Daphnia pulex: one gene and its partner. The protein of the gene in region 1 purifies or fractionates together with the protein of each later gene. This does not show direct contact. Links are inferred from orthologs where the notes say so. Each region holds a gene or a part of one and is shown on either strand. Other genes may lie near its edges.

What was found.
Region 2: the proteins of protein FAM117B-like (region 1) and DDB1- and CUL4-associated factor 7 purify together in Homo sapiens (affinity purification with mass spectrometry; 3 studies listed by BioGRID and IntAct, with this or other methods). This does not show direct contact. The link is inferred for Daphnia pulex from reciprocal best matches to the Homo sapiens genes FAM117B and DCAF7.

Annotation. Positions count from the first base shown.
Region 1 is NC_060019.1:1,555,226-1,559,504, reverse strand, and holds the start of protein FAM117B-like, read right to left. Parts: upstream 3,051-4,279; 5' UTR 2,979-3,050; exon of another isoform or gene 2,827-2,978; intron 2,695-2,826; 5' UTR 2,687-2,694; coding exon 2,404-2,686; intron 2,329-2,403; coding exon 2,151-2,328; intron 2,074-2,150; coding exon 1,740-2,073; intron 1,672-1,739; coding exon 1,548-1,671; intron 1,478-1,547; coding exon 1,373-1,477; intron 1,202-1,372; coding exon 1,063-1,201; intron 991-1,062; coding exon 669-990; 3' UTR 1-668.
Region 2 is NC_060025.1:4,763,455-4,767,696, forward strand, and holds DDB1- and CUL4-associated factor 7, read left to right. Parts: upstream 1-1,709; 5' UTR 1,710-1,909; coding exon 1,910-2,016; intron 2,017-2,103; coding exon 2,104-2,245; intron 2,246-2,307; coding exon 2,308-2,406; intron 2,407-2,468; coding exon 2,469-2,591; intron 2,592-2,656; coding exon 2,657-2,938; intron 2,939-3,006; coding exon 3,007-3,124; intron 3,125-3,234; coding exon 3,235-3,410; 3' UTR 3,411-3,637; downstream 3,638-4,242. Other genes in the region: uncharacterized protein LOC124202359, read right to left, coding at 3,735-3,932, 4,021-4,157. UniProt on the Homo sapiens protein: Involved in craniofacial development. Acts upstream of the EDN1 pathway and is required for formation of the upper jaw equivalent, the palatoquadrate. The activity required for EDN1 pathway function differs between the first and second arches.

The DNA of each region.
Region 1 (4,279 bases):
TAGGATGCGCGCGAGAGAAACAAATTTGATGAGCTCACACACATCGCACAAATAGTTTTGTCTTTTTTTTTTGTCTTCCAAAGGAGGCCAACAATGTGGTCGGTGAAAATCCTGTCCGCCAAAATAGTTTTAGATTATTAAGGATTGCAACATTCCCGATTCAAATTATTAAAAAAACAAAAAATAATCAATAACAGCAAGGACGTCCCGAATTTAAAAGGATTATTTGTTGTTTGTTTTACCAAATTCCAGTGCTGTGTGTCTCGTGTTTCAAAAAGGCTTTCCTCAGATAACCTCTCAACCAAAAGAAAACAAAATAAAAAAATTACACTTGAAAATACAAAAAAAAAGCCTGGGTTGATCAAAGAAGAAACATTTTAGGCGTCAACAAAATAATTTTGTTTTTTGGAAAAAAAAAAGGGCTGGGAAATACTTTGCATGAAAAAGAAATGAAAGAAAATTTTTTCTTTTTTTTTTTCAGCAAAGTTCAACTTGTATAACCAGAGGAACATAGTCCCGAAATGCTGCTGGATGGGATTCCAACAATAGAAATAACTATAGGCCGACAAAAAAAAAACCTAAAAGTTCTCCGGGCCGTCCTTTTTTTCTTCCCCTTTTTCTCTCTCTCACCAAAATAAAAAACTCGGCAACTATTTTCAGAGAAAGAATCAAATGGGCTGTCCTGAGGGAGTGGCGGGAATCATTTGTACGGCTGCGGAGGAGGAGGATATCTGTTGTTGTTGAATGGGCCATTGCGGAGGAACGCTGCTGGAACGGTCGCTACATTCACCGAGATTCGATCCGTGAATAAGGCCTCCGCCGCCGCTTCCGCCAAACAAATGCGAACTGCTGCTGCTCTTCATGGCCGACGAGAAGGATGAAGAGTTGAATTTGTTCAGCGAACAAAAGGCAGAGCTGCTGGACGGCTGCAGCACAAACTGGGAGCTGGGCTTTGGCGGACAGTAGAGCGTCGCGGCGTCCTGTCCGTTTCTAATGGATGGCAAAAGGTAATCGTTAGTGACACACCCACATCAATCGGCCGACGGAGGAAAGTATATATACTTGACGGTATGCTCGACGATTTTGAGCGTTTCGACTTTCTCACAGCCGTCGGGCGGTTCTCGGCACAGGAAGCGGTTCCTTGGCGAAGTTCCAAGTGACAATGCTTGGAAATCTTCCGGCGATAAGGAATTATAGTCGCCTAGATATATACATACACCAAACGGAAATGTCGACTGTACTCGTGTGCGTCTACGCAAGCTGTCACCAGCTGAAAAAGTCTATAAATACTTGCAAAGAAAAGAACAACAACCAAAAACAACCGGAGGAGGAAGAACAACAACAAAACAACCCAAAAAGTGATTACGCATACCAATTTCTTCGGCTGTACATCCATCGCTGGGCGGTCGAGACGAAGAATGATGATGATCGAACACCCAAACGGATGGAGAGACGGATCCACATGGCGAGGAAGTCCCTGAATGAGAGAAAAGGCACCCCATTATCATACCCAAAACGTCTGGTACTCTTGTCTACTCGATATCCACCTGACGAAGAATTCGTAGAGTACGCTTTGACAGGCGTTTGTGTGTCGACACTGCGGCAAGAATTGTTGCGCTTAAACAGTTCGGCAATCGGAGCTCGATGCCCATCCGGCGTCGGTTCCATCACCTACAAACCAGACAAAAAACAATTAGAAAAGTTCATTTGTTGAATTGACTTTTCAACTTTGTCCTGACCTTGTTGGATGTCGTCTCCCCGTTGCCTCTGCAGACCAACTTCTCGATCTCGGTGTTGAAACCTTCCACCGAGTTTCTGGCCCTGGAGCTCTGCGTCGTGGGCGGCGGGGGCACTGGGATGGCTCGAGACTTTTTATTATCACTGGACGAGCCGAATAGCGGTAGAGCCGGATGTTGCTCCGTGTTGGTCGAGACTGCCACACGGTTGGGGGAGATGGAACCCGAAGAATACTGCTGAATTAGTGGTGGATTCAGACCCTGATGGCCCAGAAAAAAGCGCTGCTTTTGCTTCCTATCACGACTAGGGGAAGACTCTACACCTCGGCAAGAGAACCTTCAAAACGAGAATGAATGATTTTTGGCTTTAATGGTTAGGACAAAGTAGAATCAATGTCTTAAACAGCTCATTACCTCTTCAAATCAGCCATCCATTCCTCTGGAGTTTGTGTGGCTTTGTCAAGCAGAAGATTTGACTCGTAATCTGCTGTTCCTCTGGGCCACTGGCCTTTCAGATAAATGGCATCGAGGGAAGCAGTTCTTCTCATGGATGGGTAATCATCAATCTTTTGCGTGGGCTCAGGGTTCTCCACTGAAATCAATGAATTGAGGATGTTAGTGCATGAAGAAGAAGTAGAAGCTTGTATTGTAGAAGAAAATAGCAAACCTTTGATTGGAGTAGGGGACCATTGTCTCATTCTCCAAGGTGTTTGTTTAGGTATTCCACACTGCAAGGTGTTAGCGGGGCTAACAGCAGTGTGGGGCAAATTAATTTTGCTCCATGCACTCTGAGATGAGTGGGTGAGATGTGGGTCTTCTGGCACATCAAGGATCACACTTTGACTCATCAGACTGACTGGAATTGTTGCTCTGAGTGGACCACTTGATTTGTTTGTGCTGGGCGATCCATTCCTTCTCAGTTTCTGGGATGGCTGTGTATTGCTAGTCATTTCTACTACTGTGAACAAAAAATAAGAGTGATTTAGATCCAGCTAGTCGATACATGTAAACTGCAGTGGCGAATCAAAGAGACCAGATTAAATCAAGATAAACCAAACGTTTTCTGGCAAATGCCGGAAAAAAATCTTACATTTTAATAACAACGTAGGCTATTCTGTGAGATCTGAGGGGACTGAGAACTACGAAGATATGAAAGTAGCCCTGATAGACGGTCGTCTTTACGACATAGCTTGAAACGAGCTCGTAATTTAATACTATGACCAAATCCGAGATATCTTGTACCTTCAATAAAACAGCCCGATATTTCTCGTGATGCAGACGATATTTACGATACGACTCTGACGCCACCACGTGGAAGAAATAATCAATGATTAAACAAACAAATCTATTTCAGAAAACTAATTTTACAGTTAAACTTCTCCACAGTGTCTCTAGTAAAAAAAACAAGATGGTAAAATTCCAAAAAACATACTGACAATAAGGTTTTGATTTAAGTGAAAAAGTAGTGAAATGAAATCATTCGGCAGTAGGCTGACTGCCCAAATTCAGGAAATAGCATTGTTATGATTCTTTTTTCCTTTGAAGAGGCCACAACAAACAACGAGGCATTAAATGTGACCTTCAAAACACATGCTACCACTTATCTACACACAAATCCGTTAGGAGAAAAACCAACAATAGTTGAAGGTTGTGTGTAATGTAGATATAGTTGTTCCGAAAAACCCAGTTCCTATAGGCTAGCTTGAGAAGAAATATTGATACAGGACCATGAATAAATATAACTTGATAGGAGAAACCTACGCAAACCGTCCTTTCCAAATGAGCGAACATCAGCAGCTATGTTAATATCGATCAGTTTATAAAGTTTTGTAGGTCTCCGAAAGTTAGCTGGGGTAATTTTGGAAAATCGATGATGTCCGCATTCCCAGACACATAATTTTGCATGCTTTTCAGCAAAATTGTCAACTGCTAATTGATGATTGAAATGTTTTAGTTGACCATTGTTAAATTAGAATATTGTGATGCTACCCTACAAGAAGTAATTAATCCATCAAATTGTACACTGCATCCATCTTTCGAGTCGTCTGGATATTTTCTGGTCTGACAAACTACAAAAATTTGGAAACTGAAACATCTCCAAAACGCGTGTCAACTTTACAACAGTTGGTGTAAACAAATCTCTGCCATGCATAGCATGCCAAGGGCAATACTTCACTTTTAATGCGCCAGTTTGACATTTCCTCGTTCTATTTCAGCATATTAAGAGAAAGCTCACCTCCTGTTCCGTTTGGAGAAGTCGACGAGGTTTCACATTCGACGTAAACTCAACGATTATTAATTAGCCTCTTTTCCGATTCGAAAATTGGCACGTTCCAGCTTCCGCTCGTCATCGATCTTGTCGAAAAATTCCTTTGGAATGTCTTGGCAGTGGACGCACATTTCGTCTTCTGACGTCATTTCTGTTCCGACATCGTGACATCAGTCACATCCCACACAAAACAAAACAACCAACACTCGCTGCTGCTTCTGTCTACCTGGCAATTCGATTAGTCTTGCACTGCTCCCCCATAATTTCATCATGC
Region 2 (4,242 bases), on another chromosome or scaffold:
TCAAATTACAGGGCAGAGTACAAGGCGCAGTTAGATGGTTGTGGATTTACCAGATATAGAAAGTTTTAAATGCACAGAAAGAAGCTGAACAGTTCATTCATGGAAATCAAATTCAAAAGGGAGTCAGAGCCTCCAATTCTCAATATAGAAAATCTCTATTTTCAATTGAGTAATATTCCTGCCATTCCTAGTATTAAAGGCATTTGTGTTCAAAATTTATCGTCAGTTTCTTTTGGATACCATACTATCCAACAAGATGAAGATGGCTTCATATACCCATCGCTCAATCAATCTACAAATCCATACTTTGATTTTCCTACGGCGCTATCTCCAAGAAGAATTATTTTTACCGCCAAATCATTTGATTTACCAGTGGCTTCATAATCTATACCAATGTTGCTATCACACATGATTTCCATCGCGAATACAAATTGTTAATCCAAACCAACGATTTTGAAAAAACTTTTCCTGTGTTTACTTTCCACATTGCCATAGCAACATGTCCTTTAACAATAGCGCCAAACCGTTTTCCGTGTAAAAGAAGGAAATGTCTTGCGGCTGTGCGCGTCATTCCGATCATTCATTAACAATAATTATTTTTTTCCTGGAGCTAGCATTTGCTACATTGCAGACGTTTTTTAAAATATAAATTGATTAAATGAAAAGACGAGCGATTGGGGTCGTTACTGTAGTAGTAGGCCTTGTCGAGTGGCAAAATAATTCAACTGCGATTTCCATACATTTAATCCCACTAGATTGAGGGAGTTTTTTTTTTATGTATTATACTATGAGAAGTCTCATGTATGTGTACTAAATAATATGATACATTGGGACTGAGAGACAAGTTTACACATTTTCTTTCACATTTGCAACACCAACTCCAACCATAAGGCCAACAACTGTAAATCCTTGTGCTGCAATCCTGAGCCTCATCATTTTTTGTGACATTTGGGGTCTCCTAATGAATCAATTCAAACAATTACAGATTTAAAAAAAATATATTATGGTCAATAACCACACAACAATCAATTTGTAAAGTTATACCCATGACGAAAGGACCACAGGCCATATGTCAATGCAGCTGCAGTTGCTAGACACCCAATAGGAACAAAAGGATTTTCAGAAAATTTTCTGTTGAATTTTTCTTTGAATGTCTCCTGGTTCTTCAAACTTTCTGATCCAATTTCCTCTCTTAACTGAATCCAGTTTAATTCTTCAGCATTTAAAGACTCAATTTCATTGTTTATTTTGCTTGATGTTTCCATTTCTCTGTACACAATCAAAGAGGAATTGTTAATAGTGTAATATAAATTGTTGAAGCAATGTACACATAACTGATCATGAATGCCAAAATATTTTAGATTTCTAAATATTTTGATAATTCACCAATTCGGTCATGAGAAGTCGATTGTGTTTATTAAATTAAAAAGGAATAATAACATACGGAGTATGATGTTTCGTTCGTTCTATAGTATCGCAATTACTTTAAATCTAAAAGTATTAAGACCGAGACTGAAAAGTTGTCAAGAAATTCCGAGTTATTACATAACAATATTCACAAATTGTAGTTGCGACGTTACTACTTGAAGGTTGAACGGTTGAACGTTGAAGCACTGCAGCGATCGGTAGCAGACAATATTTAGCGGTGGTGGCGCTCTTCTTCAAAATATCGTATCTATTTTGCCTGTATTTGATTTTGACTCTGACTTTCGTTTCAGACTTCTACCGCTTGGTGTACAGCTTCAGTGTGAGAAAATTTAATGGTTGTCTTGTCTGGCCTAAGTTAATAGATAGGTTTATTTGTTTGCGTGGGTCCACTGTCATTCCGGTTAAAATTGCCAACATAAGAAATTCTAACACTTCTGCATATTTGATCACGATTCCCGGGAATTGTGTCGTTTTCTAAAAAATGGCGGGGCTAAATGTTGCTCCCAAACGAAAGGAAATTTACAAGTACGAAGCACCATGGACTCTTTACAGTATGAATTGGTCAGTGCGTCCAGATAAGAGATTCAGGTGAGGGAGGAAGTTTAAAATTATGTATTTTATGTTTAAGAAATGTAATATTCAACTTGACTAACCTCAAATTCCTTTACAAATTAGATTGGCTATTGGAAGTTTTGTAGAAGAATACAACAACAAAGTTCAAGTAATTTCATTAGATGAAGATTCAGCAGAATTCAGTGCCAAAAGTACTTTTGATCATCCATATCCTACTACAAAAATTATGTGGATTCCTGATGCGGTATGGAACTATCCTGTTTCAAATATGGTTAAAGAAATGTTAATAATTAAGTGTGTTATCAGAAAGGTGTTTTTCCTGATTTACTGGCTACAAGTGGGGACTATCTACGCATATGGAAAGCAGGAGAACCAGACACAAGATTAGAATGCCTCCTTAACAATGTAATTTTTACATGAATTATTATTATTTACAAGAAATTTAATTCATTGAAAACAATTTCTAGAACAAAAACTCAGACTTCTGTGCTCCTCTTACAAGTTTTGATTGGAATGAAGTTGAACCTAACCTTATTGGAACATCTAGTATTGACACCACATGTACCATATGGGGTTTGGAAACTGGACAGGTAAAGCAATATCTTTAAAACTTCTTTAAATCTTATTATTCTATAACAAACTATTTATCTTAAAGGTTGTTGGTCGAGTTGGTGGCCCTGGTGTAGCAGGACACGTAAAAACTCAGTTAATCGCACATGATAAAGAGGTCTATGATATCGCATTCAGCCGGGCAGGAGGCGGGCGAGATATGTTTGCATCTGTTGGCGCTGATGGCTCCGTGAGAATGTTTGACCTTAGACACCTAGAACATTCAACAATCATATATGAAGATCCTCAGCATCGTCCTCTGTTAAGACTAGCATGGAATAGACAGGACCCTTCTTATTTAGCAACGATATCCATGGATGCTTGTGAAGTATTTTCGGTTTTTCACCTCATTTCAAATAGAGAACACGTTACAAATTTCTTTGTTACAAATGTTAGGTGGTAATACTCGATGTAAGAGTGCCGTGTACTCCCGTCGCTCGTTTGAGTAATCACAGGGCATGTGTAAATGGCATCGCTTGGGCCCCACATTCTTCCTGTCATATTTGCACAGCTGGTAAATATTTTTTATTTGTAACTAGAATTGTGCAAGTACCGTGTGCACGATGTATGCTGCCAATTGCTGTATATAATTGATCCGATTTGATCTGGTTTGTAATAATTTAGGTGATGACCATCAAGCCTTGATATGGGATATCCAGCAAATGCCGCGAGCCATTGAAGATCCCATACTTGCTTACACAGCGGCTGAAGGTGAAATCAACCAAATCCAGTGGGGAGCAACACAACCTGATTGGATTGCCATTTGCTACAATCGATCCCTTGAAATTTTACGAGTTTAATGCTTTAATACCTATATATATCAAAACTGAGTATGACTAATGTCTGAAAACTTCTCATCAGGTTATCTTAGATCGTGTTTTTTTAATAATTCGTATCCTCTCGTGAATCGGATCGTTGATTTGTAATTAAAATAAGGAAAATATCATAAGAATGTGACATTTGAGATTTTGAATTTGTCTGTACTACTAAGCAAAAACTTGGAAAAGAATGACTGAATTTGAATCAACAACATTGTTTTATTAGCTTTCTATCACAGCACTCGGATTCTGTATAAGATCAGCAGGTATTAACATCATATATATTTTTATGTTTCTCTTTAAAATTCAATTTGAGACTGCTAAGTGGTTGGTTTGATTACTTGAAATGCTTTTGTAAGCTGTTGGATTCGAAAGTTGCATAGTTTCTCGTAGCCGCTCGTTAAGTAGTTGGTATCTCTCGCGAATCTGCATTTCGTGATTTTTCTCTTCACGTTCCAAAACCTTAAGGAAACTTGATAGTTCAGCCACTGTAAATTCCTCCCACTGAAATATAGAAAGAAGAAAAAATGGGTGCGCTTATAGTTTAGCGATGGAATATGTCGAAAATTAGAGCCCCGCAATGGTATTTTACCGGAATGTCTCCATTTTGGCTTTCTTGAAGGATTAGAGTTTTGGCACAGCTAGAGGCATCGAGATTGGTATCATCGGCCTGCCAATGTTGGGCAAGTAGAAGCGGACAATCGAAATCATTCAAGCGACGAAGTCGAGCTAAATAATAGCAAATACAACATGATTTGGTATTCTGGAATTTAGTACGATCGAGTCCGACTCGTTTGAGAGAGGGAAGGTAAAA